2 linked regions of the Anolis sagrei genome follow. The protein of the gene in region 1 purifies or fractionates together with the protein of each later gene. This does not show direct contact. Links are inferred from orthologs where the notes say so. Each region holds a gene or a part of one and is shown on either strand. Other genes may lie near its edges.

Evidence for each region.
Region 2: the proteins of PFDN1 (region 1) and VBP1 purify together in Homo sapiens (affinity purification with mass spectrometry; 4 studies listed by BioGRID and IntAct, counting the BioPlex papers as one, with this or other methods). This does not show direct contact. The link is inferred for Anolis sagrei from reciprocal best matches to the Homo sapiens genes PFDN1 and VBP1.

What each region holds. Positions count from the first base shown.
Region 1 is NC_090024.1:136,877,594-136,894,230, reverse strand, and holds the start of PFDN1 (prefoldin subunit 1), read right to left. Parts: upstream 7,135-16,637; 5' UTR 7,060-7,134; coding exon 7,027-7,059; intron 28-7,026; coding exon 1-27. UniProt on the Homo sapiens protein: Binds specifically to cytosolic chaperonin (c-CPN) and transfers target proteins to it. Binds to nascent polypeptide chain and promotes folding in an environment in which there are many competing pathways for nonnative proteins.
Region 2 is NC_090030.1:17,411,372-17,427,305, forward strand, and holds the start of VBP1 (prefoldin subunit 3), read right to left. Parts: upstream 6,392-15,934; 5' UTR 6,354-6,391; coding exon 6,255-6,353; intron 1-6,254. UniProt on the Homo sapiens protein: Binds specifically to cytosolic chaperonin (c-CPN) and transfers target proteins to it. Binds to nascent polypeptide chain and promotes folding in an environment in which there are many competing pathways for nonnative proteins.

The sequences.
Region 1 (16,637 bases):
GACCTTAGCTTGAAGTTCAGTAAATGCCTGATAGGGAAACAGCACAAATAAAGACACAGTTAGCAAAACAATCAAAAACTGAATTTGCTCTCCTATATTTGCTCTCCTTGAGACTTGTCTACATGGGTAAAAACATTATATGAACCCCTCAGGGGCTTCAGTGACCATTCATTTATAATGTATATCTTTGGACTTTAAACTATTTCAAAAATCCTTGCCTTTTATCTTGTGGTTTTACAGAAAATCCAGACTTTTAGATGTGTGGCTGTCTCTCCAGGTAGCTCAATTTGCTGTGTCGCTGGGGGGAGGAATCAATGGTGGGTAGAACTGGTTGGTAAGAGATTAAAGTGGTTGGTAAGAGGTGAACCACTAGAAAGTGGTTCCTTCCCAGACTAATTTTAAAGGCTCACATATTAGTATTAGCATAACCCAATTTAACAAAAAAAGTTTATTTGCATGTACGATGGAAAGAATAGAGAAAATGGGGAGAGTCCAATGTTTGTTTTCCCCCTTAAGCTTCTCAAACCCAATGCTTGCTTCAAGTCTCAGATCAGCTACATTTACATCTATTTCCCCACACAGCCACAGCTGTGAGGAAAGAAAGATGGCGAGTCAACGTGAGCAGGGCTCAGATGAAGTAGGAATTGATATTCCTATGTTTCCTGACCTCACCATCACTTCAGGTTCTCTCTTTTATAATTCACGCCTTGGAGGAAAGCAAGATTTCCTACATGTTCACTCAGTCATCAATCACAATGAAAAGTGCAATCTCTAGAAGTGGGGGACCTGAAAAGGTAACCATGGATGAACTAGATAAGTTCCTCAGATGTCATAATATATCACTGAATACCAAAATCAGGTCTGTCTGTGATACTGCATTTCTGATTTCTATGTATGGTTATAAAAGCTGGACAGAAGAAAAAACTGATATGAAGAGAATCAACTCATTTGAAATGTGCTACTGGAGGAGAGTTTTGTGCATATCATGGACTGCCAAAAAGGAAAATACAGGTAAATGTGTCCTAGAATAAATCGAGCTTGAATGTTCCCTGATAGTTAAGTTGGCTAAGGTGAGACTTCTCATACTTTGGACACACCATGAGAAAACATGATTGACTAGAAGGTATTGTCTTGATAGTTTTTTTAATATCTTAATTATTGTCTTAATAATGGTTGGCAAGGTAAAACGCAGTAGGAAAACTGAAAGGCAACATTTCAGGTGAATAGATTCAATGAGGAAAGTAATAGTCCTGAGTTTCCAATACTTGATAGCACAGGATAGCATAACTAGACATTGTCACAGTCAACAACAAACTTGTACTCCTGTTATTCAGTAAGTCAGCAGAACCTTTTATTCACTTAAATCAAGGGTGAGCAGATGTCAAGGTTGTGAGATCTAATTTGTTATAGTTTACTTCTTATTTACTTACAAATATTCACATAATACTAAGATTCCCTCAAAAATTCTCAAGTAGAGTACAACAGTAAAATATAAAGCAACAACACTATACAAAATAGTATATACTTCTTCTGTCAGGGATGTACAAATTCACCAAAAGCAGGAGCTACTTTTTACCTCCCAGGGACAATATTGTAGCAATGCACCTAAATTGTTAGTGATATGACATCAAAGTATTTTGCAGCACTTCTAACACGTTTCTATGATTATGGGACCAAAAAAGGCCTAATTTTTAATAGGGGCATAGAAGCTTGCAGGGGTGTCCTTAAGAGCTGCAAATATGGAATTTGGGGTTTATTTCCCTGTTTTATGTGGTTCAACAAACTGATATTAGCTTGGGTTAAATGGGGAAGGTTTGTATAAAGTATGTTTCTAACAGAATATTGTTCTAGCATGTATTTACACGAATCCTGAAATTCAGCAACCAGCAATAAATACAAAATGTTCAAGACACACTAGGAATAAGGGGACAAGACATTTCTGAGAATTAGAACAAGCATTTGTTATCAGTATCATATCACAAATTCTTTCCCACAACAGCTTACTCTGGTCTCCCCTTCAACATGTTCTTTAGAAATGTAATTTAGAAAATGAGGGGATTTTTAAAAATTGCTATGTTGTTCAAAGAAATTGAGTCAGAAACCCTTGCTGACCTACTGGAATTAAGTCAGATAACTACAATCTCCCTCAGCTCTGACTTGAGTTAAATAATGATTACAAACTATGTGTCAATGTAATTAATCAAAGATTACACTGAAAATAAAAATAATTATCTAATAGCTGCCTAAGCAACCTATATTTATGTCATCTACTATAATCTCTCTCTAGTAAAACAGCTGGCCTGACTCATTCATTGATATTTACTCAGCTAGTGAAGTGTTCTCCCTGTCACCTCCCTTCATTCAACATGTAGAGAAAGTTTTCATTACACAGCAACTGTAGGTAGGGAGGGAACTTAACACCATTTAATTGCTGTGGAGGGAAAACTACTATAGCCATGCTGAGCCTAAGCTTCGTGAGCTAAGAGCACGAGTTTTCAGGGGGTTCAGTGTTAACACACACTTGCCCACTAAATGTCTGGTTGGTTAGTATAATTATAGCTGTAGTAAAAGATAGCACAGCTGCAACCGTTCAATGAGCAGCATAATCTCAAACTCTCTTTTTAATTTTTTTTAATATCAGGTGTAACAAAATAGTGGATGTTGACAATCCTCCTTTCGCTGTATCCTTTTCATGACATTATATTTTCTACAAAAATCTGTGTTACCATGCAAATACTGTAACAAAGCCTATTCAGATATATTCCTAGAATCAAATATGTTTTATTTTCGGCAGAAAATCAAGAAAACTCTATCACTGTATTTTTGCCTCAACATTAAAGAATCTCTACATACAAAGAAGAACTATCACACTTTTATATACATAATGTAAAATGTAAAATACATGCACACATGTATATGGCTCTAACAGAATGCCAGCCACTCCCAAATAGAGTACACTCATTGAATTAATTGTTGATTAGATAAAACAAAAGGCTTAAATGGGGCTACTGTAGTCAGGACGACCAAGACAGTTTAGGCCACAATCTAATTATAACAAATTATTATTATATGGCATATTGCAGATATGCTTTCCATGCTGACGATTCCAGGCTGAACCTTCAGTAAATAGTATTTCAGATAGAAAGGCTAGGATATACAGTATTTCTGATTGAGATCTAGAAGACACAGAGCAAGTCAAACAGAGATGGAATGATCATGTGAAGGAGTTCAAGACAGGTTCCTATTGCTGTTATAGTTTCAACCCCTCCCGTGATCTTTTTTAACATAATGTGTTCCATATTGTAGCACTAGCATTCACTACACACAGCATTCATAGCATGTCTTCAACAGCTATCCCCCTTTATAATGCTGTGACATACAAAACCAGTTCTAGATATGATTCACAGATAACTAAGAAGAAGAATGACTGTCCTACCCACTACACATCCTCTGGTAAATGGCCATAGCAATAATGATCTGGTTTGTCCAGTAAAATACTGTCTATGCAGAAACATTAAATGAAATTCACAAGTCAAAATCTATGCAGTTAATTACAGACTGTAACAATGTTTTCAAGGATAAATACATTTTCTTACTATTAATTGGACACTAGACAAGGTTGGCACCAATCTGCCTTCTCTTGGAGGAAATGTCCATAGGGAGAGTGTTACTTCAGAGAAGGCTTTGGTATTGAATTCAATACCATGCAAATACTGCAACAAATTATATTATATGGCAGCGTGGACTCAGATAAGGCCTTTGATCTTTGACATTGTTGTTTTTAAATTGTGTTAGATTTTAGCCTGTTCTTGTAAGCCGCTCCGAGCCCCAGGGGAGTGGCGGCTTATAAATTTGAATAATAAATAAATAAATAATCAAAACAGATATTGTGGATTATCTGCCTTGATATTCTGGGTTATATGGCTGTGTGGAAGGACCAAAAGACAATCAAGGAGATGTGTTCTCAAGCTTCTTCTACAATGCCATATAAAATCCAGATTATTTGCTTTGAAGTTGATTATATGGCAGTGTAGACTCATATAATAATCTGGATTATCTGATCTGATAATCTGGATTATATGGCAGTGTAGAAGGGGCTTAGTGTTTTGTTTAAACAAGAAACAGTGGACTCTTCAATGAACTGTATGTGTGAGTAATGCTTCCTTAATACACAAAAGGCAAAATCTCGTCTGATAATTGAGCTAAGCAGGATCAGGTCTGGTTAGTACTTGGATGGGAGACTACCAATAAAAACCAAGGCCCCTTCCACACAGCTGTATGAAATCCACATTGAACTGGATTATTTGGCAGTGTGGACTCAGATAATCCAGTTCAAAGTAGATATTGTGTATTATCTGCCTTGATATTCTGGGTGATACGGCTGTGTGGAAGGGCCCTTCCTTGATTGTTAGAGACTCATACATAAAGGGCTCTGCTTGGATGTTATCTGCTTCTAGATAGCTCTGCCTTGACAATAGACAGACTTTGAGATTAAAGGGCCTAACCCAATGCCTAGTAAGTGGGAAGGTTCTGATGATTTCACTAGAATTTTGTTCTAAGGGGTAGTCCTAGTGATATAATTTTGAGAATGGACATTGACCAGAATTGCTCGGGGTAGGCCATTTGAATCTTTTAAATATGGCAAATAGATATTATATACTAGTGTATATACCCAATGATGCTTGTGTGTGTACTTTCTAATGAGTATTAGGAATACTCATTGTTAACGTTATCATTTTATGAATGTTTCAGGATGGATATACACTGCCCTGCATTCCAGGATCTGGTTCCGGATTATCTGCTTTGAACGGAATTATATGAAGCCCATTCAACCTAGCTGAATAAAATTCTACATTATTTGCTTTGAACTGGAATATATGGCAGTTTGGACTCAAATAACCCAGTTTAAAACAAATATTGTGGAATTTTCTGCCTTGATATTCTCGGTTATATGGCTGTGTGGAAGGGCCCCCGAGTCTACACTGCCAGATAATCTGGGACATTTTCCACACAGCTGTATGAAATCCACACTGAACTGGATTATATAGCATTGTGGACTCCGATAATCCAGTTCAAAGTAGGTAATGTGAATTATCTGCTTTGATAAACTGTATTAGATGGCAGTGAAGAAGGGGCCTGGGAGAACCGGTTCTGAGGCAACTTCCATTTGGCTGTATAAAATTATATGGCAGTGTGGATTCAGATAATCCAGTTCAAAGCAGATATTGCGGATTATCTGCCTTGATTTTCTGGGGCCCCTTCTACACAGATAAATAAAATCACACATTTTCTGCTTTGAACTGGATTATATGGCAATGTAGACTCAGATAATCCAGTTCAAAGTAGGTAATGTTAATGATCTCCTTTGATAATATGGATTATGTGGCAGTGAAAAAAGGGTCTTCTCAACCTGGAGTCCCCAGATGTTTTTGGCCTTCAATTCCCAGAAATCCTAACAGCTGGTAAACTGGCTGGGATTTCTGGGAGTTGTAGGCCAAAAACATCTGGGGACCCCAGGTTGAGAACCACTGGTAAGAGAACCACTTAAGGCCTCTTCTACACAGCTGTATAAAATCCACATTGAACTGGATTATATGGCTGTGTGGACTCAGATAATCCAGTTCAAGGCAGATATTGTGGAGGTCAACCCTCCTGTTTAAGGAGCTCCATTGGCTGCCGTTTACCTACCGAGCCCAATTCAAAGTGCAGGTGCTTACCTACAAAGCCCTGAACGGTTTGGGACCTGCCTACCTGCGTGACCGCATCTCCGCTTACGAACCCACGCGTTCTCTTTGCTCATCCGGAGAGGCCCTGCTCGCGATCCCACCTGCGTCGCAGGTGCGTTTGGTGGGGACGAGGGACAGGGCCTTCTCTGTGGTTGCCACCCGACTTTGGAACACCCTCCCCAAAAACATTAGACTAGCACCCACGTTCACAGTCTTAGGAAGAACTTGAAGACTTGGTTATTCCGATGTGCCTTTCCAGAATAGGATAATCCCCAACACTCTGTACCAGAAGCACTTTATTAGAGTTTAATATTATCTGAACATTGCACTTGCCCAGAACTCCAACATACCACCTCACACATCCAGGACTTTTAACCTGTACCCATCATTGGCCTGGCCCTGATTTTATTGTGTAATAGTGTAATGTTTTGTTGTGTTATTGCTTATGTTTTAATTTGCTTGCATCGTTATTGTTTGTTGTTGTTATGTTGAGGCTTTGGCCTTTGTAAGCCGCATCGAGTCCTTCGGGAGATGCTAGCGGGGTACAAATAAAGTTTAATTATTATTATTATTATTATTATTATCTGTGGGCAATTCCACACAGCCATATAATCCAGAATATCAAGGCAGAAAATCCCACAAGAGCTGCTTTGAACTAGGGGCCCTTCCACACAGCCCTATATCCCAGAATATCTGGGCAGAAAATCCCACAATATCTGCTTTGAACTAGGTTATCTGAGTCCACACTTAGATAATGTGGGATTTTCTGCCTTGATATTCTGGGATATAGGGCTGTGTGGAAGGGCCCTTGGTTATCTGAGTCCACACTGCCATATATTCCAAAGCAGAAAATGTGGAATTTTATTCAGCTGTGTGGAAGGGGTTTTAAAAGCACAGGCACCCACGAGTAGACATAGTCTGATGTTGATAAAAGCCTAAGCCGCCGTTTATGCCGGGTTTTCTAGGCAGAACTGAAGCAGAGGGGGTTGGCTTTGAGGCTGAGAGAGTGTCACCTGCCTCCCACTGCCCTCGCCCAACACTCAAACCGCTTTCCTGTGGCCTAGAGAGGCGGCCCCATCCTGAGGCGATGCTCTGATAGTTTCCTAGTACAAACACTCCAGGAAAAGGCGTTTTGTCTTTATGGCAAAGGCTCCAACAGGGCCTCTGGTGCTGCCATGAGCCCCTGAGAAACTCCGCTCCCGAAAAGACTCGCCTCAGACGACAACGGCCTCACACAGCTCTGGGCCTGAGCTTCGTTTATCTCTCTCCATCCCCACCCGCACCCCCTCCCGCCCCATACCTTTTTCAGCTCAAGGTCCACGGGCGCCGCCATTTTGCCTGCTTTGAACACGACTGCGCCTGCGCGCTGAGCAAGCCGTTCAACTGACGGCGTCCCCTTCGCGTACACATGCCCCGCGCTGCGCATGCGCAATAGGGGGATCCAGGCTAGAACTGTGTACTGTGGATAAGGTTGGACAGGGATACTTGGGTACTAGGTGATTCAGCAGCTCAAGGTCAGCCTGGGCTGGGGGATGCTGTATAGCCCAAACATACTTCAGTCTTAGTTAAAATCCAAGAAATTGCAAGTAGCCAAGTCTGGCCCACACTGGTCTCAGTTCTTGAAGTGTAATCAGAGATGACCCTCATCCCCCAGGACCCTGTAAAAGAGTTCATAATCAGGGAATTCATAGTTTTGCCAAGGACACCAGGCTGGAATGATCCAATAATCACTTATCTCTCCCCCATGGTGGAACCTAAGGCTCTTTCCATGGCCCCACATGGCAACGCCCCTGTAACCCAAACCAGCATCTGATCAATTTGGCTATTATTTATGAATTGGATTCCCTTTTTGTGAATAAAACTCCTGTTTTATGAATGGCTCAGTGAGCTTTGTGTCATCTTACATGAACTCTGGGTGACCAAGATGAATCTTCCCTTGATCCTGCATGCCTTTCCCTTCCCATATAAAATGCAGTATATTCCCCATATCCCCATCCATTATACGTATGTATGTCTGTATATCAGAAAACCAAAGTGCTCTTCCAGCAGTCACCAGCCTATTTATTTATTTATTTATTTATTTGCAACATTTCTATGCCACCCTTCTCACCCTGAAGGGGACTTAGAGCGGCTTACAAGGAACGCCCTTCCTACAGACATTAGGCTGGCGCCATCTCTCATGGCATTCCGAAGAAAGTTGAAGACCTGGATGTTTGTGCAGGCGTTTGAGTAATTTAGTGCAATCTGGTAATGAAACATAGGAATGGAACAATGGACGACGAACCTGGACTACGCTTGGATGATGAGAAGATTGGGTACGGTTGTTTTTTGTAATAATTGTGCATTGTAATTGCTTTTGGTAATTTATGGATAATGTGTTAAGTCAATTGTTATATGTTGTATGGAACCACTGCTGTTTCTACTGTTTTTTTACTGTTTGTGAACCGCTGTGAGTCGCCTTCGGGCTTGAGATACAGCGGTATATAAGCAAAGTAAATAAATAAATAAATAAATACAATATATTATATTATTAGCATAGTACAATATCAGTATTAAATATTACTATATTGTACTATACCATTATATTGTAATATTACATGTAATATAAATATATAATTATATTATTATTAGTATTATATTGCATCAAATTATAATATTATAAATATTTCATGTATATATTTATATTCTCTCTCCAATCCCTCTCCAATGCCAGAAATACAGCTTAATGTTGTAACATTAGAAAATGTTGATCATTTCTGCTACCTTGGCAGCCACCTCTCCACCAAAGTCAACATTGACACTGAAATACAACACCACCTGAGCTTTGCAAGTGCAGTTTTATTCCGAATGAAGCAGAGAGTGTTTGAGGACCGAGACATCCGTAGGGATACCAAGATGCTTCTTTATAAAGCTATTGTCCTCCCAATCCTGCTATATGCCTGAGAGATGTGGACTGTCTACAGACGTCACATGCAACTCCTGGAACGATTCCATCAGCGCTGCCTCCGGAAAATCCTGCAAATCTCTTGGGAAGACAAGCAGACAAAGGGCAGCATGTTGGAAGAAGCAAAGACCACCAGCACTGAAGTGATGGTCCTCCGCCATCAACTCTGCTGGACCGGCCACGTTGTCCGGATGCCCAACCACCGTCTCCCAAAGCAGTTGCTCTACTCCGAACTCAAGAACAGAAAATGGAATGTTGGTGGGCAGGAAAAGACATTTAAAGATGGGCTCAAAGCCAACCTTAAAAATTCTGGCGTAGACACTGAGAACTGGGAAGCCCTGGCCCTTGAGCGCTCTAGCTGGAGATCAGCTGTGACCAGTAGTCTGTCAAGCTAACCCTGACTGAGACCGCCTTCCACCTGGAAACCAATGCCCTCACTGCGGGAGAAGATGCAGATCAAGAATAGGGCTCCACAGTCACCTATGGACCCACCAGTACACCCATCTTGGAAGACTATCCTACTTGGGCAACAAGGGATCGCCTAAGTAAGTAAGTATGTCTATATAAAATATGAAGCAAGGTAACCCTTTCATGAGCTTTGCCACCAACCCAGGGCTCAGGAGTTTTCAAACTTCCTGAGCCAATAATCCCATTAACAAAGGTCTTGACAGAAACTCATTTGCATGGACAATAAGTAAATGGGCCCTTTTCCTGGACTTCGGAGGGCCTTGTTGGCTAGACCATCCAGGACAATGGGACTTATGGACATACAGAATCACCCAACCATACATTTCCCAACTGCAAGGAACCAGGGATTGTCACCGCCTCCCCACTGTGCCATTTCTCCATCTCCAAAAAGGAATTTCAATTCCCATCATCAAGCCAATTTTACAGAGCAATATGACGATGGAACTGGCTCTTTGGAGCTAGACAGAAGACGTTATTTCAAGACTCAAGACAATAGCCTGGGCTGAAGTTTGAGGGCTTAAGCTATCACTTTGGCCCCTTTATCAATACAGGCGCAGAAAGTGCCATTCATAACCCATCATCATGGCATTCTTTTCATTGTTTCCCATTTGCCCATCTCCTTCCACCTCATTGGCTGAGCGGCCAAAGCAGTGGTCGGGCTCTCATTGGATCTCCTGCTGGCTTGCTGACGTCACAGCCAATCACAATGAAGCCAGTTCAGGGGGGTGGGGGTGGGCATGGGAATTTTTGAATCTGACAGCCCTATAAATATTGTTTTTTCTGCCCATCCAGCATGTCAGCTCCTTGGGCAGATAACTGCAGTCATGATCACTTCCAGCTGGAATGAAATAAAACTTTGGTGGCTTTTGCTTCAACTTGGTGAGATTTTATTTTGGAAAATTGAAGGAAAAATCTTTCTTGGTGCTTGCTGTCTTATCAGGTGTTCCGGATCCTCTTTTTGGGTCTGGCCGGTCTCTGTCTAGGTAGGGCCTTCCAAATTCATGTTTGACATCAGAAGGATGTTGTTCCAGACTCCTCTGTTATCTTCACCTATGGCAGTCTACCCCCAGTGCCCCATAATACATTTTTCTTTTGAGGTATTGTGCAAGGGTAACATGCATCCTTGGAGCAAGATCATTCTACAAACACGTACGAGTGTTCCTTCGTTCCTCTGTGGTTGGTCTCCCCAGAGCATCAATGCACACAGAGGGCAGATAGATTTCTTGAGGAGTGGAGATGTTGCACAGACGCAGATGTAGCAATAGCAAAGTAAAGATTTGCCACTTTTGCACAAAACCTCAAGTGGGGGGAAAAATCACAGTGAGCCATTGTGGGAGAAACAGGAGGAGAACATGTGTAGACTCATGAGCGAGACATCTGGAGACAAATTAGAAAAAGAATGTGGAATTGGACACCGTGATACCTCTGTAGCAGTGGTTTCCAACGCTTGGTCCTCCGGATGTTTGGGACTTCAACTCCCAGAATCCCCTGACAGCTTGTCCAACTGTTACAAATTCTGGCTGCCAAAGTGCAAAACTTCTGGAGGAGCAAATGTTGGGAACCACTGCTCTATAGCAACTTACAAAATTAGCACTAATGTTCTAGCAATACAAACACAGTGTGATTTCTAGTTAAGAGCATCCCAATTTGAGAGTATTTTTCTCAGACCGGGTTTCACTTTGATATAAGAGCAGTGTTTTGAATTAAGAGCTAGCATCAGAGGGAGCACTAGCGCAGGAGTATAGGGCTTTGGGGCTTAAAGAGGCAACCTCTGTGTCTCCGTGCCTCATGGTCTGTCCACTTTAGGAGACTGCTGCCTGCTTTGCTCTTGTCCGCTTTAAGAGAGAGTAGATAGATGTTTTGGGGCAACTGAAGAGAACATTTCTGAAACTCTGCTATATGTTTGTTGTGCATTGGCATCTCTTTGTTCCTAACAGTTCAAAGAGATATCTAGGTACATCAGTCTAACTGCTGGGAAACCTAATTGCCTTGCATGAATGCTAGTTGATATTTACCACTAAGGAGAAGGTTGACTCAAGCGAGTTTTTAACTCTTCTCAGGAAGATCATACTTCTGAAACTCTGTTATATATGTTTTTTGTGCATTGGCTTATCTTTGTTCCTAACAGTTCAAAGAGATATCTAGGTACATCGGTCTAACTGCTGGGAAACCTAATTGCCTTGCATGAATGCTAGTTGATATTTACCACTAAGGAGAAGGTTGACTCAAGTGAGTTTTTAACTCTTCTCAGGAAGATCATACTTTGCAAAAGGTTTGGATCTCTAACAAGGTCATGCCTTTCCTAGGGTTATGATTATTCCAAAGGGTTGTGAATATCCATTTTCCAAAAGGTTATGGAGGTACTTTCAAAACATATTATAAGTGGACTATGAGAAGCAAAGGATCTCCAGCAAAGGATCACCGCCTTGTCGGGGCGCTGGAGCTTGAGCACCTCAATGATGTCATGAGCGAAACCGTGAAGGGCCACCCAAGACGGGACGGTTGTGGCAGAGAGGTCAGACCAAGCGTGATCCCTGGGGAAGGCAATGGCAAACCACTCCAGTATCCTTGCCAAGAAAACTAAATGGACCAGTACAACCAGAGATATGTCGGTATGCCATTGGAAGATGGGACTCCCAGGTCGGAAGATGGCCAAAATGCTACTGGGGAGGAGCAGAGGATAAGTTCAACTAGCCCCAGATGTGATGACGCAGCTAGCTCAAAGCCGAAAGGAAGGCTAGCGGCCGACGGTACTGGAGGCGAACGACGAATCCGATGCTCTAAAGATCAACACACCATAGGAACCTGGAATGTAAGATCTATGAGCCAGGGCAAATTGGATGTTGTTATTGGTGAGATGTCAAGACTAAAGATAGACATTCTGGGGGTCAGCGAACTGAAATGGACTGGAATGGGCCACTTCACATCAGATGACCACCAGATCTACTACTGCGGACAAGAGGAACATCGAAGAAATGGAGTAGCCTTCATAATTAATAAGAAATTCGCTAAAGCGGTGCTTGGATACAACCCAAAAAATGACAGAATGATCTCAATTCGAGTGCAAGGAAAGCCTTTCAACATCACAGTGATCCAAATATACGCCCCAACCACAGCTGCTGAAGAAGCAGAAGTAGATCAGTTCTATGAGGATCTGCAGGACCTACTGGATAATACACCAAAAAGAGACATCATTTTCATTACAGGAGACTGGAATGCCAAGGTGGGAAGTCAAATGACAACTGGGATCACAGGCAAGCATGGTCTGGGAGAACAAAATGAAGCGGGACGCAGGCTGATAGAATTCTGCCAGGAAAACTCGCTGTGTATAACGAATACTCTCTTCCAACAACCTAAAAGACGGCTTTATACATGGACCTCACCAGATGGTCAACACCGAAATCAGATTGACTACATCCTTTGCAGCCAAAGGTGGCGGACATCCATCCAGTCGGTGAAAACAAGACCTGGGGCTGACTGTAGCTCAGATCACGAACTTCTTATTGCCCAATTTAGAATAAAACTAAAGAGATCAGGGAAAATACACAGACCAGTTAGATATGATCTCACTAACATTCCGAGCGAATATACAGTGGAAGTGAAGAACAGATTTGAAGGACTAGATTTAGTAAACAGAGTCCCAGAAGAACTATGGACAGAAGTCCGCGACATTGTTCAGGAGGCGGCAACAAAGTACGTTCCAAAGAAAAAGAAAACGAAGAAGGCAAAATGGTTGTCTGCTGAGACACTGGAAGTAGTCCAAGAAAGGAGGAAAGCAAAAGGAAACAGTGAAAAGGGGAGATATGCCCAGTTAAATGCGCAATTCCAGAGGTTAGCCAGAAGAGATAAGGAACTATTTTTAAATAAGCAATGCATGGAAGTGGAAGAAGACAACAGAATAGGAAGGACAAGAGACCTCTTCCAGAAAATTAGAAACATTGGAGGTAAATTTCAGGCAAAAATTGGTATGATAAGAAACAAAGATGGCAGGGACCTAACAGAAGCTGAAGAGATCAAGAGAAGGTGGCGAGACTATACAGAAGATCTGTATAGGAAGGATAACAATATCGAGGATAGCTTTGACGGTGTGGTGAATGAATTAGAACCAGACATCCTGAGGAGTGAGGTTGAATGGGCCTTAAGAAGCATTGCTAACAACAAGGCAGCAGGAGATGATGGGATCCCAGCTGAACTGTTTAAAATCTTAAAAGATGATGCTGTCAAGGTGATGCATGCCATTTGCCAGCAAATATGGAAAACACAAGAATGGCCATCAGACTGGAAAAAATCAACTTATATCCCCATACCAAAAAAGGGAAATGCGAAAGACTGCTCAAACTTCCGTACAGTTGCCCTTATTTCTCATGCCAGTAAGGTAATGCTCAAGATCCTGCAAGGAAGACTCCAGCAATACATGGAGCGAGAGTTGCCAGATGTTCAAGCTGGGTTTAGAAAAGGCAGAGGAACGAGAGACCAGATTGCCAATATCCGCTGGATAATGGAGAAAGGCAGGGAGTTTCAGAAAAACATCTACTTCTGCTTCATTGACTACTCTAAAGCCTTTGACTGTGTGGATCATAATAAATTGTGGCAAGTTCTTGGTGGGATGGGCATACCAAGCCACCTTGTCTCTCTCCTGAGGAATCTGTACAAGGACCAAGTAGCAACAGTCAGAACTGACCACGGAACAACAGACTGGTTCAAGATTGGGAAAGGCGTACGGCAAGGCTGCATCCTCTCACCCAACCTTTTTAACTTGTATGCAGAACACATCATGCGATGTGCGGGGCTGGATGAATGCAAAGCTGGGGTGAAAATTGCTGGAAGAAACATTAACAACCTCAGATATGCAGATGACACCACTCTGATGGCCGAAAGCGAGGAGGAGCTGAGGAGCCTTCTAATCAAGGTGAAAGAAGAAAGCGCAAAAGCCGGGTTGCAGCTAAACGTCAAAAAAACCAAGATTATGGCAACAAGAATGATTGACAACTGGAAAATAGAGGGAGAAACCGTGGAGGCCGTGACAGACTTTGTATTTCTAGGTGCAAAGATTACTGCAGATGCAGACTGTAGCCAGGAAATCAGAAGACGCTTACTTCTTGGGAGGAGAGCAATGTCCAGTCTCGATAAAATAGTGAAGAGTAGAGACATCAGACTTGCAACGAAGATCCGCCTAGTCAAAGCCATGGTCTTCCCTGTAGTCACCTACGGATGTGAGAGCTGGACCTTAGGGAAGGCTGAGCGAAGGAAGATCGATGCTTTTGAGCTGTGGTGTTGGAGGAAAGTTCTGAGAGTGCCTTGGACTGCGAGAAGATCCAACCAGTCCATCCTCCAGGAAATAAAGCCCGACTGCTCACTGGAGGGAAAGATACTAGAGACAAAGCTGAAGTACTTTGGCCACATCATGAGGAGACAAGAAAGCCTAGAGAAGACAATTATGCTGGGGAAAGTGGAAGGCAAAAGGAAGAGGGGCCGACCAAGGGCAAGATGGATGGATGGCATCCTTGAAGTGACTGGACTGACCTTGAGGGAGCTGGGGGTGGTAACGGCCGACAGGGAGCTCTGGCGTAGGCTGGTCCATGAGGTCACGAAGAGTCGGAGACGACTGAACGAATGAACAACAACATGAGAAGTTAAAGCTCACAGCCCAGATAACTGCACATGGATGGCACTGCCCAAAACAGAACTGGATTATACTTTATGAATGTGAATGAATTTCAGAATCTACCAAAAATATACTGAAACAAAATAAAGTACTTCAGTCAGCTGGGGAAGAAGAAAAATCCAGTTATTGTTAGGAATTAGCAGCACAAAGGAAACTTCATTTGGATATCGGAAATAAGAGTGATAGGTAGAGTAATAGGGAATGCCGCATCATGGCAAATGTGGCAGTCTGGAAAAGTTCCTAATATGGAAACAATGAACATATTAATCTTTTTCTAGACTGCAGAAAATGCTGTGTTTGAAAATGAGCCACAAGACCAGGACAATTTTCAGTTGGCATAGTGAAAATATCAGTCATAAGTTTTCGAGGACACCATTAAAAGTTGTACTTCCGATATATAAGTCCCATATCAGCTAAGAAGTTATCTGTGTACCATTTAAGGTTGAGAACAATGCACAGGAAGACTCATCAGTCTCAGCAATGTATGTACCATTAATGCATTTTCCTCACAAAGAAAACTTACAGGAACATGCTCTCTGACATTTTTTTGTTTATGTTTGTCTGGGGTTTTTTTTACTCTTTAGGTATAAACTAAAGGAAAAAGGGACAGAAATGTAAGCAGTTGTGTAGAAACAAGTGTAGGATGCATTGAGTCGGGTTGGGTGTTGCTTTTTCCACTGAGCGTACATTTACACCAGGGAGGATGTTAGAGAAGTGGGCTGCTGTAATTTCCTCAGAAGGAGTTTTTTTCCAGCTAGCATTTGAAAAGCCATGAAAAATGCTGTGGTCAGCATCTTGGTTTTATGGCATCTGGAAAATAGATTCCTCCAGCTGCAGAGTACCCACGATTGCTGCTCGGGGCTATTGATTTAATAGTGACTCATAGTGAATGGGTGCCAATAAATGAATCATTCACATCACTTCCTACCATACATATGAGTTTTCCTTGCACCCTCTCATCGAAGTAATTACTATACTCCGCTCTTATAAATATGAGGCCTGCTGGACTCTTCATGGCACAGCTGTAGCAGCCTTTGAGATGGAAGTTAAAATTAAAACAAAAGAACAAAAGCAGGAAGTCAAAAATGTGTACAAGCTGGTTTTGTATTTACTTTGCCGAAAGTTTACTTTACATAAAGTTTGCTAATATGTGTTTCCATGTTACTCGTACCTGTTTCCGATAAATTAACCTCCTTAAAATTACAGCTGCTATCTTTTACAGGTGATATAAAAATGTTATCTTTTAAGGTAAAGGTTTTCCCCTGACATTAAGTCCAGTCGTGTCCAACTCTGGGGGTTGGTGCTCATCTCCATTTCTAAGCCGAAGAGCCAGCCTTTACCATAAACACCTCCAAGGTCATGTGGCCAGCATGACTGCGTGGAGCACTGTTACCTTCCCGCCAGAGCGTTACCCATTGATCCACTCACATTTGCATGTTTCCAAACTGCTAAGTTGGTGGAAGTTGGGCCAACACCGGGAGCTCACGCTACTCCCCGAATTTGAACCTGTGACCTTTTGGTAAGCAAGTTCAGCAGCTCAGCAGTTTAACCCACTGTGTGACGGCGTGAGTGGCGCCACCTATGTATAGAACTGTTAGTTGCAAGATTTAAACTGTTTTATCATGCTTAATCCTGCCCCTTTTACCCTGCTTATGTATAGTTGTATGGACTGGTTACTTATAGCTGTCAATCAGTACAGTTTGGCTCCACCCCTTCCTGCAGGAGGGGAGAGCTTCCTTTTCTTTCTCATTCTGCCATCAGAGTTCCTACCATATGGACGTGAGTAAGAGACTTGACTCTAAAAGACGCTGATTTAAGTTACCTCTTCAACTCT
Region 2 (15,934 bases), on another chromosome or scaffold:
GTAGCTATTTGGATAACACTCGCTGGCTAGCAAATGAGAGAGGTGTAAGAAAGATCGATTTTTGAAGCAATGGTGTTGGAAAAATTGGGACATCTAAGGGCTCCCTAATTCCTGGAACCAGCAACCTAAAAGCAAGGCAGCAGACACGGATCCAAGGTGGGCTAAATTTCTCCTAATCTAGGAGAAAGAGGCATAAACTCACCAACTGCAAAACATCATCATGTTTACAATACACCAAGAGTACTGTAGGTGCTACGTAGACAGTGCAAGCTCACACAATAATTGGGGAGCTGTTCCTTGTCTCCCAAAGGCGGGTTTCATTAGCAAAAAGGTGAGACGGCCCAAAAAAGAGCTCATTCCTAGCACCTAATCTGGCTTGCTGGAACAAGGCTGGGTCTCATGAACACCAGCATTTCGCTGCCAACAGCCGACACTCACATGTCCCTGGACATCCTCAAACAAGGCAGGAAGCCAAAAGTCACACTCTTTGATCATTCTGGGCACCCAATGCTCAAAGGTAAGCTGCTTTTGAAGATTCAGCAGTTGCAGCTAATAGTTGCCGCTGGCTATTTGTCTCATCCTGTTTTAAGAAGCTTTCTCAGCTAGTGAACTGATTACTACAGACTGTAGTCTGCATGTAGAGCTGGTAAAAATCAAGTCTATTGAGCTTTGGAAATATAAATATAAACTGGGCACTCCCATCCCTTTTGCAGTTTCTTATATAGAGAATTTTGTAGAATAGCCAGCCAGATATGCCTGCAGTATTAAAAATGAATGATCCCAGCATGTAAATATACACAGAACTCTTTTGACATGACTCTTAATGGATCAACAAGTTAAATATTAGTATTTTAAAGGACTAATGTCTCCCAACATCAATGGGAGTGCTTGTAAAAATGTAGGATTCCAGCAAAAATAAGGCCACGAGGGAGTAAGGGAGATGGCACACTTGAGGGGACATTTAAAAAAGATTTCTTCAAAGGATCATAGATTCTCAACAACCAGAAAATGAAGATGACAAGCAGAACCAAATAAGACACAGTAATAGGGATTCGCACAGAATCCTTAACAGAAATACATGGAAGGAAGATACTGTACTAATTGAATGAATATCCCAAAATGAGAATTGCAAGTCTCACTCGAAAAGATTTATTTGCATACCGTTGCACATCCTACTTGAATAGATCAAACATTGCTCTTCTTCCATCACCATACCAACTTGTACATTCTCACGCACAGTTCAAACACACTACAGATATATTCACATGATATATCCAGGATAGACAACTGCAATGCACTCTATGTGGAGTTGCCTTTGAAGACTGTTTGGAAGCTTCAAAGAGTTCAATGAGAGGCAGTCAAGTTAATAACTGGGGTGGCGTACAGGGAGCATACAACTCCCATGTTACATCAGCTCCACTGGCTGCCTGTTTGCTACTGGACACAATTCAAAGTGCTGACTTTGGCCTATAAAGCCCTAAATGGCCCTGGCCCAAATTACCTGTCCGAACGCATGTTCCTTTACGAACCACTGCAAATACTAAAATATTCTGGGGAGGCTCTACTCTTGGCTCCGTCAATGTCACAGGCGCATTTGGTGGGGTGAGGGCCTTCTCAGTGAGTGCCCCATGGCTATGGAACTCCCTTTCTGGCGAGATTAGATCAGCCCCCTCCTTTCTGTCCTTCAGAAAGATGGTAAAGACCCGGATGGGACCAAACCTTTGGGCAGTGCAATGGTACAATAGGGAACCTACTCCGATAATCGGAGCCAGCATGGTTTTAAACATCTGATTTTAATGTTTGTGTATATTTTATAATTATTTTAAGCCTGGCATGGAATGTTTGCCGTTTGTATGTTGTAGTCCGCCCTGAGTCCCCTTTGGGGTGAGAAGGGCAAAATATTAATGTTTGAAATACATAAATGTATGTGTCTTCAAGTTTCTTGTCAATTTTTGGCAATCCCATTAATTTTATATGGTTTTCTTAGGCAAGGAATACCTACAGCAATGAATAAATATTATGAGGCAATCTCCCATTAAAAGTTAATTTCCCATGGCTAACTTTGAAGTTCTGTTTAATTTTCACTTGACCTAAGTGCATCCTAAGAGACAGGTTTCATTCCACAATATTCAAGGATGGTCTATTCCTGCAATTTGCCTCACTAACGTTACCAGGCCAGCTGTGCTATGAATTAATACATCAATACAAATGCTCATCAATTTATATAAGTGAATAAATATTATAAAATATTTCATGTCCAGTCATCTGGAAGCATTTTCAGTACTTGTCACATACCTTTTGCCTTCTCCCTAAGTCTCATGAAATTGGCACATAAAGTTTAATTTTTTTCATTCAAATGGTCAAGTTGATTACTTCATGCTGCCCTTTTATCTTTTGATATTTGTTGCTGTTGTTGTGTACATTCAGGTTGTTACCAACTTATGGCGACACAAGGTAAACCTATCAGACTTAGAATCACTCTTCACATCTAGGCAAAGGAAAGAGAGTCATCCTGAAAAGCACTAACTCTGCATTAGAAACTGAAAATAAGTCTGTCTTCTTCATGGCAGGTATATGAAACTGACTTTAATCAGAGCATTAGATTTTTCTTACTCTTTGTCCTATGTTTTTTTCAATCTTGCTGAAGCATCCAGGGATTGAAATTCAGGGTTCTACAACTCAGCTATGACTCAGCCTCCACTCATTCAAACATTTTAATAAAAGGTGCTCCTTCCAGAATGAAAATTGCTGAAGCAGCCCAAGTGCTTTAAATAAAGAAATAAAACATGGAGTTTTTAGCAGACCCTCCATTACGATCAATTACTTCGTTACACCTTACAAACAGTGCTTCGTCATGAGCTGGACCATTGCTCCAACTCTAACTAGTCATAATGACTCTCTAGGATTTTAAGCAGGATCTCTGCATTCCATGGTGGCCTCCTATTCAATGCCAATCGCAGTCTCTCAGCTTCAAAGGAAGGCAAAGGCAAATATCATCTGAACAAATCTTGCCATGAAAACCCATGATAGGTTTGCCTTATGGTCACCATAATTTTGAGGCAACTTCAAGGAAAACTATTATTATTACATTATTATTAATATCCTGTTTTGCTCTCTTGATTGAAACTAAGTAGCACACAACATTCAAAATAATGCAATCAAAAACCTACAGCATCTAAATATTTAAATACAAGGAAGCCTACAATAATTAAAACAAGTCAAACAGCCACAAGTGGAATTAAAACTAAGCAAGTTGTCAATGTCTTGAAGGCAGTCACATTGCATTAATATAAAACTAGAATACATTAAATAAAGCTATGACCTCGGGTAGAGAAAACCTGTCATAACGTTTACTTCCTGCAAGGACATCTAGCAATGAGACTCCAAGGCAGTTACACCTTTCAAGGAGAAGAATGAGATCTCTATTATGATGAAGGGAAAAAAGGGCAAGGACCTGATTTAATGAAGAATAAAAGGTTTGATTAGTAAACAGCAATATGAAATGAAGAGTAGGTTTGATTAATAAATAGCCTTAGTCTTTTCACGGAGATGAAATCAATTGCAGGGTCTGCCATGAGGAACAGGCAGGAAGACAACTCACATAGATAATAAATGAGCAATAAAAATGCCAAATGGAAGTTGCAAGGAAGGGAAGGCAGAAGCAATTAACAGCTGATGGTCTTTCCTAGTTGTGTATGTGTGTGGATAGTTTGTGTATGTGTATATATATAGAATATATATGTATATATAGTATATACATACTTTATTTGTACACTGCCACCATCTCCCTGAAGGGACTCGGAGCGGTGCACGAAAAGTACCCAATAGTGCAGTACACACAAAATACAACAAGATACATAACAAATAAAAACAATTAAAAATGAGTTCAGAAAACACTAACTGCATAAACTAATGGGGGGTGTATGCTCCCTATAACTAGCCCCACTTAGTAATCTGGCTGCCGACCTTTGGGCTAATTGCAGTTTCCGAGACATCTTGAAAGGCAGCCCCACGTAGAGTGCATTGCAGTAGTCCATTCTAGATGTAACTAAGGCATGAAGCACTGTGGCCAAGTCAGGCTTTTCGAGGTTGCAGTTGCTGCACAAGGCCCTCCCAGCCACCGCCAACACCTGGGCTTCAACTGTCAGTGCTGAGTCCAGGAGGATCCCCAGATTGCAGGCCTGTGTCCTCAGGGGAAATGTAAACCCGTTGAGCACAAGTTGCTACTCTATACCCTGACTGGCCTCGAGGACCGCTGTCTTGACCGGATTAAGCCTCAGCTTCTTGGCCCTCACCCAGTCCATCACATAGAATCATAGAGTTGAAAGAGACCTCATGGGCCATCCAGTCCAACCCCCTGCCAAGAAGCAGGAAAATTGCATTCAAAGCATCCCCGACAAATGACCATCCAGCCTTTGTTTAAAAGCTTCCAAAGAAGCCTCCACTACACTCCCATTAAAACAGAGAGTTCCACTACTGAACGGCTCTCACAGTCAAGAAGTTCTTCCTAATGTTCAGACTGAATCCCCTTTCTTGTAGTTTGAAGCCACTGTTCCGTGTCCTAGTGTCCAGGGAAGTAGAAAACAAGCCTGCTCCCTCCTCCCTATGACTTCCTCTCATATATTTGTACATGGCCATCATGTCTCCTCTCAGCAGAATCTCTCACTTCTTGGGATGTTACAGTAGCGCCCGGTTTGCATCATAATACCAAGTTGTTCAAACCTAGCCCTAGTATATATTCATCTTAAGGGCAGTGTAAATGGAATAGTTAGGTAGTGCTCTAAATGAATATCCCTTTTGTGGGAAGCTAAAAACTCTCCTCCCTATGCCTTCCTCTCACACACCTATACATGGCTATCATGTCTCCTCTCAGCCTTCTCTTCTTCAGGATAAACATGCCCAGCTCTTTAAGCCACTCCTCATAGGGCTTGTTCTCCAGACCCTTGATCATTTTAGTCGCCCTCCTCTGGACACATTCCAGCTTGTCAATATCTCTCTTCAACTGTGGTGTCCAGAACTGGAAACAATATTCCAGGTGTGGTCCAACCAAGGCAGAATAGAGCATGGGGAGCATGACTCCCCTGCATCTAGACCAGGGGTCCACAAACTTTCTAAATGGAGGGCCAGGTCACAGTCCCTCAAACTGTTGGAGGGCCAGATTATAATTTGAAAAAAGAAAAACATGAATGAATTCCTATGCACACTGCACATATCTTCTTTGTAGTGCAAAACATTTAAAAACAATACAATAATTAAAATGAAGAACAATTTTAACAAATATACATTTATTAGTATTTCAATGGGAAGTGTGGGCCTGCTTTTGGCTGATTAGATAGGATTGTTGTTGTTGTGTGCTTTCAAGTTGTTACAAACTTAGGAAGACCCTAAGCGAGGGCCGGGTAAATGACCTTGGAGGACCGTATTTGGCCCCCGGGCCTTAGTTTGAGGACCCCTGATCTAGACACTATACTTCTATTATAGAAACTATAACTCTACTGATGCAGGCCAAAATCCCATCGGCAGAAAACAAGCTTGCTCCCTCCTCCCTATGACTTCCTCTCACATATTTATACATGGCTATCGTGTCTCCTCTCAGCCTTCTCTTTTTCAGGCTAAACATGCCCAGCTCTTTACGCCGCTCCTCATAGGGCTTGTTCTCCAGACCCTTGATCATTTTAGTCCACCTTATCAATATCTCTCTTGAATTGTGGTGCCCAGAATTGGACACAATATTCCAGGTGTGGTCCAACCAAGGCAGCATGACTTCCCTGGATCTAGACACTAGACTCTTATTGATGCAGTCCAAAATCCCACTGGCTTTTTTTCCCGCCAGGAAGCTTACGCAGGCAGGGCAATATACATCAAGGGAAGGCAATAGTCTCAGATGTAAGAAAGTTCACACAGGAATGCTGTTTTGATGGACTGAACCAAATGGGAGCCTCAAAGCAGGGAGAAAAGTTCAAACAGGACCCAGGAATACAAATAAATTATTATTATTATTATTATTATTATTATGCACGAAATGCTTTTGACACGAAATGAAATAAGCAGTTAAAGAGGGACAACAGTATTACAACAGTGCAGTGTGGTAGGGCCTTAAGGAAGACTGAGGCCTACAAGCCTTCACAGTGGACACCCTGCGCATGCGCACAAGGGACCCCCTCCCCTCACAGCCTTCCAGGCCCAACGGTAGCCGGTTCCGAGTAAAGGCTCCTCGGCCTCTCGCTCGCCCCCTTCCCCCGCCCTCTACTCACCACGAACACGGCCTCCGGGATCCCCAAGTGGCCCCTTTTCCCGCCCCCCGCCGGGCCGTCGCCACAAACCACCGCCTCGCCGCTTGTGGCCGCCGCCATTTTGGGGAGGAGAAGAAGACGAGGGGCGGGGTTAAACGGCACGAAAGGACACGCGCATGCGCGTCAACGCGCCCGAGGCGCCTCAAGGAAAGGGGCTCGGCGTCGCCTGACGACAGCGACGACGCTAAAGCGATGTGGGCGGGACAAAGCGTTCCCCGATTGGTCAAGAACGGCCTTGATTGACTGATTGGAATGAACCCTTATGGCGCATGCTCAGTCCTAGGCTGGAGCTGGAGGGAGGTATTCTGTGATCATTTGGATTGCAAAGTTACTTTTTTTTTTGGACTCTTGCTCCCAAATACAATCACCCAACACTGAGTGGAGAGTTGGGGAGTATATATATATATATAAATTTATACAATATGTTTATTGTTTATATATTTATACAATATGTTGTTTATTTATTAATTGAATTAATTAAATACATAAATAAATAGCAATATAACGATATATAGAAATAATAATTTTGTAATGTAGTGGTGTTGGTATATTGTATGTAATATACCAACACCCAGTGAAGGCGGATCTGGCTGGGGTGGTCCATGCCTTAGTCACCTCTAGATTGGACTACTGTAATGCACTCTACGTGGGGCTGCCCTTGAAAACGGCCTGGAAATTCCAGTTGGTACAACGTGCGACACTCGGTGGAACACCTCAGCAAGCGAGAGTCCAAAAGTGGCAGGCTCAAACCCAGAACCGAACCAATGGCTGATACCAAATGAGAGACTCCCCCCTTGGTACACAGAGGACTGGGCGACTTGGAAGGCGCTGAACAGACTGCGCTCTGGCACCACAAGATGCAGAACCAACCTCCAGAAACGGGGCCACAAAGTGGAATCCATGACATGCGGGTGTGGAGAAGAGCAAACCACTGACCACCTGCTGCAATGCAACCTGAGCCCTGCTACATGCACAATGGAGGACCTTCTTGCAGCAACACCAGAGGCACTCCAAGTGGCCAGATACTGGTCAAAGGGCATTTAACCAACTACCAAATTCACAAGTTTTGTATTTTGTCTGTTAGTTTGCTTTGTTCTGTTAGAAATGTAATATAATGGACTGGTTGCTCTGACACGACAAATAAATAAACGTGTGGCGGTCAGGCTGTTAACTGGTGCTCCTTACAGGGAGAGGTCAACCCTCCTGTTTAAGGAGCTCCATTGGCTGCCATTCATTTTCCGGGCTCAATTCAAGGTGCAGGTGCTTACCTACAAAGCCCTAAACGGTTTGGGACCCATCTACCTTCATGACCGCATTTCTGTATACGAACCCACACGATCCCTGTGTTCATCTAGTGAAGCCCTGCTCACAATCCCACCTGCTTCACAAGCGCGATTGATGGGAACGAGGGACAGGGCCTTCTCGGTGGTGGCCCAGCCACTCTGGAACTCCCTCCCCAAGGATATCAGACAGGCTCCAACATTGGCAGTCTTTAGAAGGAGCTTGAAAACGTGGATGTTTCAGCGTGCCTTCCCAGAATAAGGAATCTTAAGCAATATGTCCTTAATGCACTTTATGAGAGACTTAGAACTGTCTGCACTTTCTCCTATCCCAAAACATTCCTCCTATCCCCTGTGAACTTCCCAGTTTTTAACTTTAAATCTTTACATTTGGCCCTGCTTCATGTTTTTAAACTGTGTCGTGTTATTATTGTATTGCTTTTGCTTTTTGAGTTATTTGTTGCTGTTGTTGTTTTCATGTTGTTTTGGACTTGGCCTCCTGTAAGCAGCACCGAGTCCTGCGGGAAATGGTAGCGGGATATAAGAACAATAAAATAAAATAAATATGTAATAATAATGTTGTAATTTAATATATTGCATATTGTATATACTACAACTTAGGATATGGCACAATCTATATAAATAAAATGTAATGTTAGTTTGTGGGATTAACATAACTCAAAAACCACTGAACGAATTGATGCCAAATTTGGACACAAGACACTTATCAGGCCAAAATACTGAAAAACACAGCAGAAAGGACTTAAAAAAAACAAAAACAAAGAGGAGCGGCTTAAGGAGCTGGGCATGTTTAGCCTGAAGAAGAGAAGGCTGAGAGGAGATATGATAGCCATGTATAAATATGTGAGAGGAAGCCACAGGAAGGAGGGAGCAAGCTTGTTTTCTGCTGCCCTGAAAACTAGGATGTGGAATAATGGCTTCAAACTACAAGGAGATTCCATCTGAACATGAGGAAAAACTTCTTGACTGTGAGAGCAGTTCAGCAGCGGAACTCTCTGCCCCAGAATGTGGTGGAGGCTCCTTCTTTGGAGGTTTTTAGGTTGGCCCATGAGGTCTCTTCCAACTCTATGATTCTATGATTCCTTCCTTCCATCCTATCTTTTTTCTTTCCTTCCTCCTTTCCTCATATATTTTCTCCTCTTCCTTTCCCTCATACTTTCCCCCTCTTATTTCCTTTCTCATCCCTCCCTTATTTCATCCTTCCTTTCCTTCCCTCATACCTTTCCCGTTTCTTTTCTTTCCTTCCTTTTTCTTCTCCCTTCTTTTTCTTCCTTTCTCTTCTCTCATTTTTATTCTCCTTACATCCTTTCTTTTTTCCTTCCTCCTTTCCCCATACATTTTCTATTCCTTTCCCTCTTCTTTCTCATCTCTCCCTTCTTTCATCCTTCCTTTCCTTCCCTCATACCCTTTCCCATTTTTTCCTTTTTTTCTTCTCCCTTTTCTTCCTTTCTCTTCCCTCATTTGTCTTCTCCTTTCATCTTTTCCTTTCTTTTCTTTCTTTCCTTCCTCCTTTCCCCATACATTTTCTCTTCCTTTCCCTCATACCTTCTCCCTCTTCTCTTCTTTCTCATTCCTCCATTCTTTCATCCTTCCCTCATACCTTTTCCCATTTGTTTTCTCCTCTCCTTCCTTTTTATTCTTTCTTTTTCTTTCTCTTCCTTCCTTTTCTTTCTCCCCTTCCCACCCTTCCTCCCTTCTTTCCTTACCCTCATATATTTTATATCTTTTTGTTTCCTTCCATCTTTTTCTTTTCCCCCTCCACCGTCCCTCCTTTCCCCACCTCTTTCTTTCTTTCTTTCTTTCTTTCTTTCTTTCTTTCCTTCCTTCCTTCCTCCCTTCCCCTCAACACACATGCCACTTCTTTTCTTTCCTAGTAACATCACAGAGGGCCACTTCACCTAGCAACAGCCAATCCTTCTGAAAAGGTGGCCAAGTGTTGCTTTTTTCCATCTCAGATCACAAAGCATGAGCCTTCCTGATAATTTTGGAATTGACAGAAAGCAACTCTCAGTTCTTGAAACTTTTGAATGGGTCCTTCCATTGCATAAATTCACAATGGTGCTGAGGAAATGATACAGTTTGCTGAATAACCAATATGTGATTGCCTCGAAATTAAAGGTGATTTTAACAGACATTACACACACACACATCCAAGCCAACTTTGTGCCAAAGTTTATTTTTCAAAACCTGTTTCATTAACAAAACGGAGGATTCTATGCAACAGTCTCATTCATTTCCATTTCTATACATCCTGCCAAGTTATGAAGGGTCGAGATTATCAAAACGTTAACGTAGCAAACCTTGTGCTTCAGCAAAATAAGGAATTGGGAGAAAAGAAAGGAATTGAAAACAACTTTTTTTGGCTAGATGCATCATGGTCACTTTTCACAACTTTTCAGAGAGAAATTACATCCATCTACAAAAGAACATGCAGAATTGGGCAAAAGACATACTCTGAGCAGGTGAAATACCACATTAGACCCCACTGATCTGTATCAAGTATGATGTATTTAAAAAACTTAACTGAGAGAAGCATTTTCAAATGTGATAAATAGAAAAAAATGCAGAATCCATATTTTATTTCAAAATACATTCAATCCATAATGTCTTCTTAACGTGACAGCTTGGATTTCCAGGTTGAATTAAATGGTTACACGGGCTTTAAATATGATTTTTTTAAAAAATAAAACAATAGGTTGAACCCAGGTTGACAAAGGACCTCATCACACTAGAGAATGAATCCACTTTCAATCCGGTTTCTGCCTCCTACAGAATTCTGGGGTTTGTAGTTTAGGGAGGAGTCTTTAACAGTGGGTTAAACCCTTGTGCCAGCAGGACTGAAGACCGACAGGTCGCAGGTTCGAATCCGGGGAGAGGCGGATGAGCTCCCTCTATCAGCTACAGCTCCTCATGCGGGGACATGAGAGAACCATTCCACAAGGATAATAAAAACATCAAAATTATCCGGGCGTCCCCTGGGCAACGTCCTTGCAAACGGCCAATTCTCTCACACCAGAAGCGACTTGCAGTTTCTCAAGTCGCTGCTGACACAACAAAAAAAAAAAACAACTAAATTACAAACCCCAGAATTCTGCAAGAGACAGAAACTGGATTTAAAGTGGATTCATTCTCTAGTCTGATGAAGTAAAAAGTGATGTTCTTGATTAATTTGGTGTGTCATGTAACTCTTGCATTGACAAAGATCACACTATTGTTGGTTGATCGTGGTGAATTGAAAGACTTTCAATACAAACATCCATTATTTAACCCGCAGGGAGTTCAAGTAAAGTGGCAATGGTCACTGGCATCAAAACTGGTTTAAAAACTTTGCATTGTTTAAAGCAAAGGGGAAAATCTTTACAAGCCAATATATGTATTTACACTACAGTTACAGCAGCTCTGTACCACTTTGTCACGGTTCCATTCTATGGGATCTAGGGAATCATAGTTCCTCTCTTCTGAAGTACACTAGTGATGTCACGCAAAGAAGTGCAAGATTCAGGAAATTACAAATCCCAGGATTCACAGGAGACAGCCATGGCACTTAGACTACGACTGAAAGACTGTAGCATCAACTCCGTTTCAAGTAGAATCTCTCTTCCAGAGCAATGTCCTTCAAGCTCTGCACAGGATTAATGAGCTGGAGATACACATTTTGTAAAATTTGGCTTATAGGGTTCTTTAAAAATGGCCAACAAACTTTCACATCAGAAAAACTGTATCCTCACGCTTTCATCAAAATCTGGTGAACAATGCTAATATATTTTGCGCTCCACATCATTGTTATGGGGATAACTAGACTAACTACTTCATCACACTAGAGAATGGATCCACTTTAAATCTGGTTTCTGTCTCTTGAAGAATTCTGAGGTTTGTAGTTTAGTGAGGCTTTTAAAGGCTCCTGCTTAAACTACAAAGCCCAGAATTCTGCAAGAGGCAGAAATCTGATTTAAAGAGTATTCATTCTCTAGTGCAGGGGTCCTCATACCTTTTAAACAGAGGGCCGGATCACAGTCCCTCAAACTGTTGGAGGACTGGATTATAATTTGAAAAAAGCATGAATGAATTCCTATGAACACTGCACATATCTTATTTGTAGTGCAAAAAGGACTTAAAAACAATACAATAATTAAAATGAAGAACAATTTTAACAAATATAAACTTATTTGTATTTCAATGGGAAGTGTGGGCTTGCTTTTGGCTAATGAAATAGGATTGTTGTTGTTGTGTGCTTTCAGGTCATTTCAGACTTAGGTTGATCCTAAGCGAGGGCCGGGTAAATGACCTTGGAGGGCCATATCCAGCCCTTGGGCCTTAGTTTGAGGACCCCTGCTCTAGAGCATCAGAAAGTCTGAAGCTGCTGAGTAGCACCAGTACAACCAGGCAGCATGTAAGGACCTCAGCAGTGGCTCTCAACCTGTGGGTCCCCAAGTGCTTTGGCCTACAACTCCCAGAAATCCCAGCCAGTTTACCAGCTGTTGAAGGCCAAAACATCTGAGGACCCACAGGTTGAGAATCACTGCTGAGGTACTTACATGCTGCCTGGTTGTACTGGTGCTACTCGGCAGCTTCAGCTGTTGTTGAAATGCAACTCCCAGCGTTCTCATCACTGACTCTACTGGCCGAGGGATTTACATTCCTGCACCACCTGAAGATTCATGTCATTGATCTCATAGAGGTAACTTCTACAAACGCTGCACTTACTTCTGGTCTATTTGTTTCACAGCTCAGTGCCTCCAGGACTACACTGAACGCTGTGAGAAACGCTTGGCTGAATTTCATACACAAGTCTGCAAGGACAGTGGAGAGGGAAATGGAAGAGGGAATGAATCAGGGACTAGAATAGAGGTGTAGCTCATTCCGCCAAAGCTGTCATGACAATGAACTCACCCAGAGGGAAATTTCAATTTCCACTAGTAATGGCCCTGAACGTTCAAGGGATATGTATCGGCATTGGCGTCTTAGGCAAAACTAGTTCCCTTCCTTCCTGACACATTTGCAATCCTGCCTCCATGCCTGGCTGCCAAAAAACGTGTGAAATCTGATCATATACCCTATTTGCTCAAATTTAATGCTTCTTTTGGTACCTTTTTGGCTATATTAGCTTACCCAAATAAGAGTATGCATTAAAAGGTAAAGGTTTCCCCTTGACATTAAGTCTAATCATGTCTAACTCTGGGGAAAGAGCTGGCATTGTCTGTAGACACCTTCTAGGTCATGTGACCGGCATGACTACATGGAGCGCCATTACCTTCCCGCCGGAGAAGTAATGATTGATTTCACATTTGCATGTTTTCGAACTAAGTTGGCAAAAGCTGGGGCAAACAGCGGGAGCTCACTCCACTACCCAGATTCAAACCAGTGATCTTTGGGTCAGCAAGTTCAGCAGCTCAGCGGTTTAACCCACTGTGCCACCGAGGGGCTCCCAAAGTATGCATTAGATTCATGTAAAATGGCCCTCTTAGCACTGGGCCAAAACAAAGGAGGAAGCTGCTACAGGAGCACTTGGAGCTCCTATTGGAGGAACATAATCTGTATTTTTTTTTTGTTTAAGGGTTTTGAAAATTGAGATCCGCATTAGATTTGATGGTGCATTAGACTTGAGTCAATATGGTATTTGTCGGATATCAAGCTGGTTCTGACTGCGTTCTCACTTAGTAGTAGCCTAGAAAAAAATCTGAGCGACATTATGCCCACAGCAGTTAAGGCAAAGAGAGGCAATAATTGCATGTCCAGGTCATAAGGAAGGACAAACCCAACAGGCCAAGCCAGATCCATGTAGGTAAAGCCTTGGCAAACAGGTCCCCATTTCAATGACACCAAAGTCCAGCTAATTTAGTTTGGATCTCACCAAGTACACAGTTTAAATGAATTATACTTCATTTGTCTGTCCCAAAACCAAGTTAAATCTCTCATCTACAGTGGATTATAGGTTGTCTCCACCTGCCACCAGCTCTTTCTGGCATTTCCTACCAAACAGCTTAAGAAGGGCAAGGAATCATATTCTTCTGTTTTAGATACAAGGCGCAATTCAAATCCTATTTTAAATACAGATTTTAAATACAAAGGTTCTGAAAACAACACAGCTCTGGGAACAGGTATGTAAGGATGAACTGATAACAGACTCACCCTATACAAAGGAAACCTTCCCTCTTGGAAGGCACAAACCGAGTGTGTTTTAAGACACATAAACAAATGCAAAAGAAGGGGATATGGGCCAAATAATTAGAAGAATGTGTTCAGCTCAAAAGATGGAGCCCCTGGTGGCATAATGGATTACATCCTTGTGCCGGCAGGACTGCTGACCAAAAGGTCAGCGGTTCGAATCCAGGGAGTGGAGTGAGCTCCTGTCTGTCAGCTCCAGCTTCTCGTGCAGGGACATGAGAGAAGCCTCCTACAGGACGGTGACACATCTGGGCGTCCCCTGGGCAATGTCCTTGCAGACAGCCAATTCTCTCACGCCAGAAGTGACTTGCAGTTTCTCAAGTCGCTCCTAACACAGAAAAAAACCTCAAAAGATGGGTTTAGCACCTTTGTTTCATCGTTCAGTGTTCTGGAAAAACCCAGCCAACTAGTTCGTACAAATGACTATAGAAATGTAAGTTAAATGGCGACATAGGGAGAGAAGAAAGACTATCTTGGCCATTAGAATCTTTGAAAACAAAGGCTTTATCAGACAACTATGGACAAAAATGCATCCACTATACATTTTAAGCAGTACATTATGGTCAAAAAAGTCTAATTACATCTTCAAAGTCCAGAGCAGTATTTCTATTCCTAGTTTCCAGTAACTGTAGCAAGAGCATGCACAGTTTCGATCACTCAGCAATCTCATCTTTAGAGTGGAAATAAGCAACTGATACATGACGCAGTTCAATGTTATCATCACAAACGCAAGCCATTTAAGAAAGTTTTCCCTTTTATGTACAAATAAAAGCACCGATCCACAGTGCGTTCAGCTCTAAAATTTGAAACCTAACTTTCCCTAACACAAGAAACAAACAAATTAAAAAAATCCACAGATCTGTATTTAATTTTAAAGTCAAGGAAAGTATACTTGCTTTTTTTAAAAAAACTCTACACATTTTTACTATATGCAGAGAACTCAAATATCTTTATTGATTTTTCTTTTTCTTTTTTTTAGAAATGAATGCATATGTAGAAAAAAAAGGAAGCCAGCTTTAGAAGAGACATTTTCAAGTATGATGTTATATGTATTCAGTTCACATCACAATGTTTTTCTTCTTAGGGCAACTCAATGGTGGACATTCTTATCTAATGACACATTGTTTATGAAATATGATGGAAGCAGTATCTGATTTTAGCAACTATCATTTCATTATTAGTTTCAAAACTGATATGCCTTGGGTTGCCAAAGTAAAAGTAGGTAAGGTTTCTGTACCTTTAATGGTTGAGTAGAAAAGGGTATTTTGGCAGGGGTTGCTTGTTATCCAGCAATATCTTCTGAAATTTCCTCTTCTAAAAAAAGGATTTAACACACTAGAGCAGCATTTCTCAACCTGGGGGTCGGATTGTGAGGGGGGTTCAGAGGGGTCACCAAAGATCATCAGAAATCACATATTTCTGATGGTCTTAGGAACTCCTTTGGCAGAGAAAGCTGAAGATCTCTCAGCCTGTCTTTCTCTTCATTTTTGGAAGTAAACAAGAGCAACCCAGCTCAAGTCTAGGACATGCAAACTTCTGTTTCAGGTGACAATCCTTACCTGAGATCAGGGGCCACTGAATTCAACAAACCAGACTTCTCATGCCCCTTCTACACTGCCATATAATCCAGATTGTTCCAAGCAAATAATCTGGATTTTATATGGCAGTGTAGAGGGGACCTCAGTGGAGAGGCATGGTATCACTCATGTGTTATCTGACTTAAGGACAACCTTGTAAGAGGAACACTACAACACTACTCCCCTGGTAAATATATCAGGGCACAGTTGCAATGAAACTATTAATTTGATGTGTTACTCAAGCATTCTAATGTTCTCAACATGTTCACAATGAAGTTGTTAAAATGCAACTTAGCTTCCAGAAAGGAGAATTAGTTTGGGCACTATCTCATGAACAAGCTCACTTACGCAGCACAGAAGTAAATCCCGGATAAATGTGTGTAGGAATGAGCCATCAACCTCCGGACAACATGTCCTAGGATTCACTGGGATGTTATTTTTATAGTTAACCTTCTGCGGTGGCATAATGAGTGAACTGCTGACCTTAAAGTCAGTGGTTTGAATCTAAGAGATGGGGTGAGCTCCCATCTGTCAGCTCCGGCTTCCCATGAGACATGAGAGAAGCCTCCCACAGGATGCCAAAACATCCAGGCGTTCT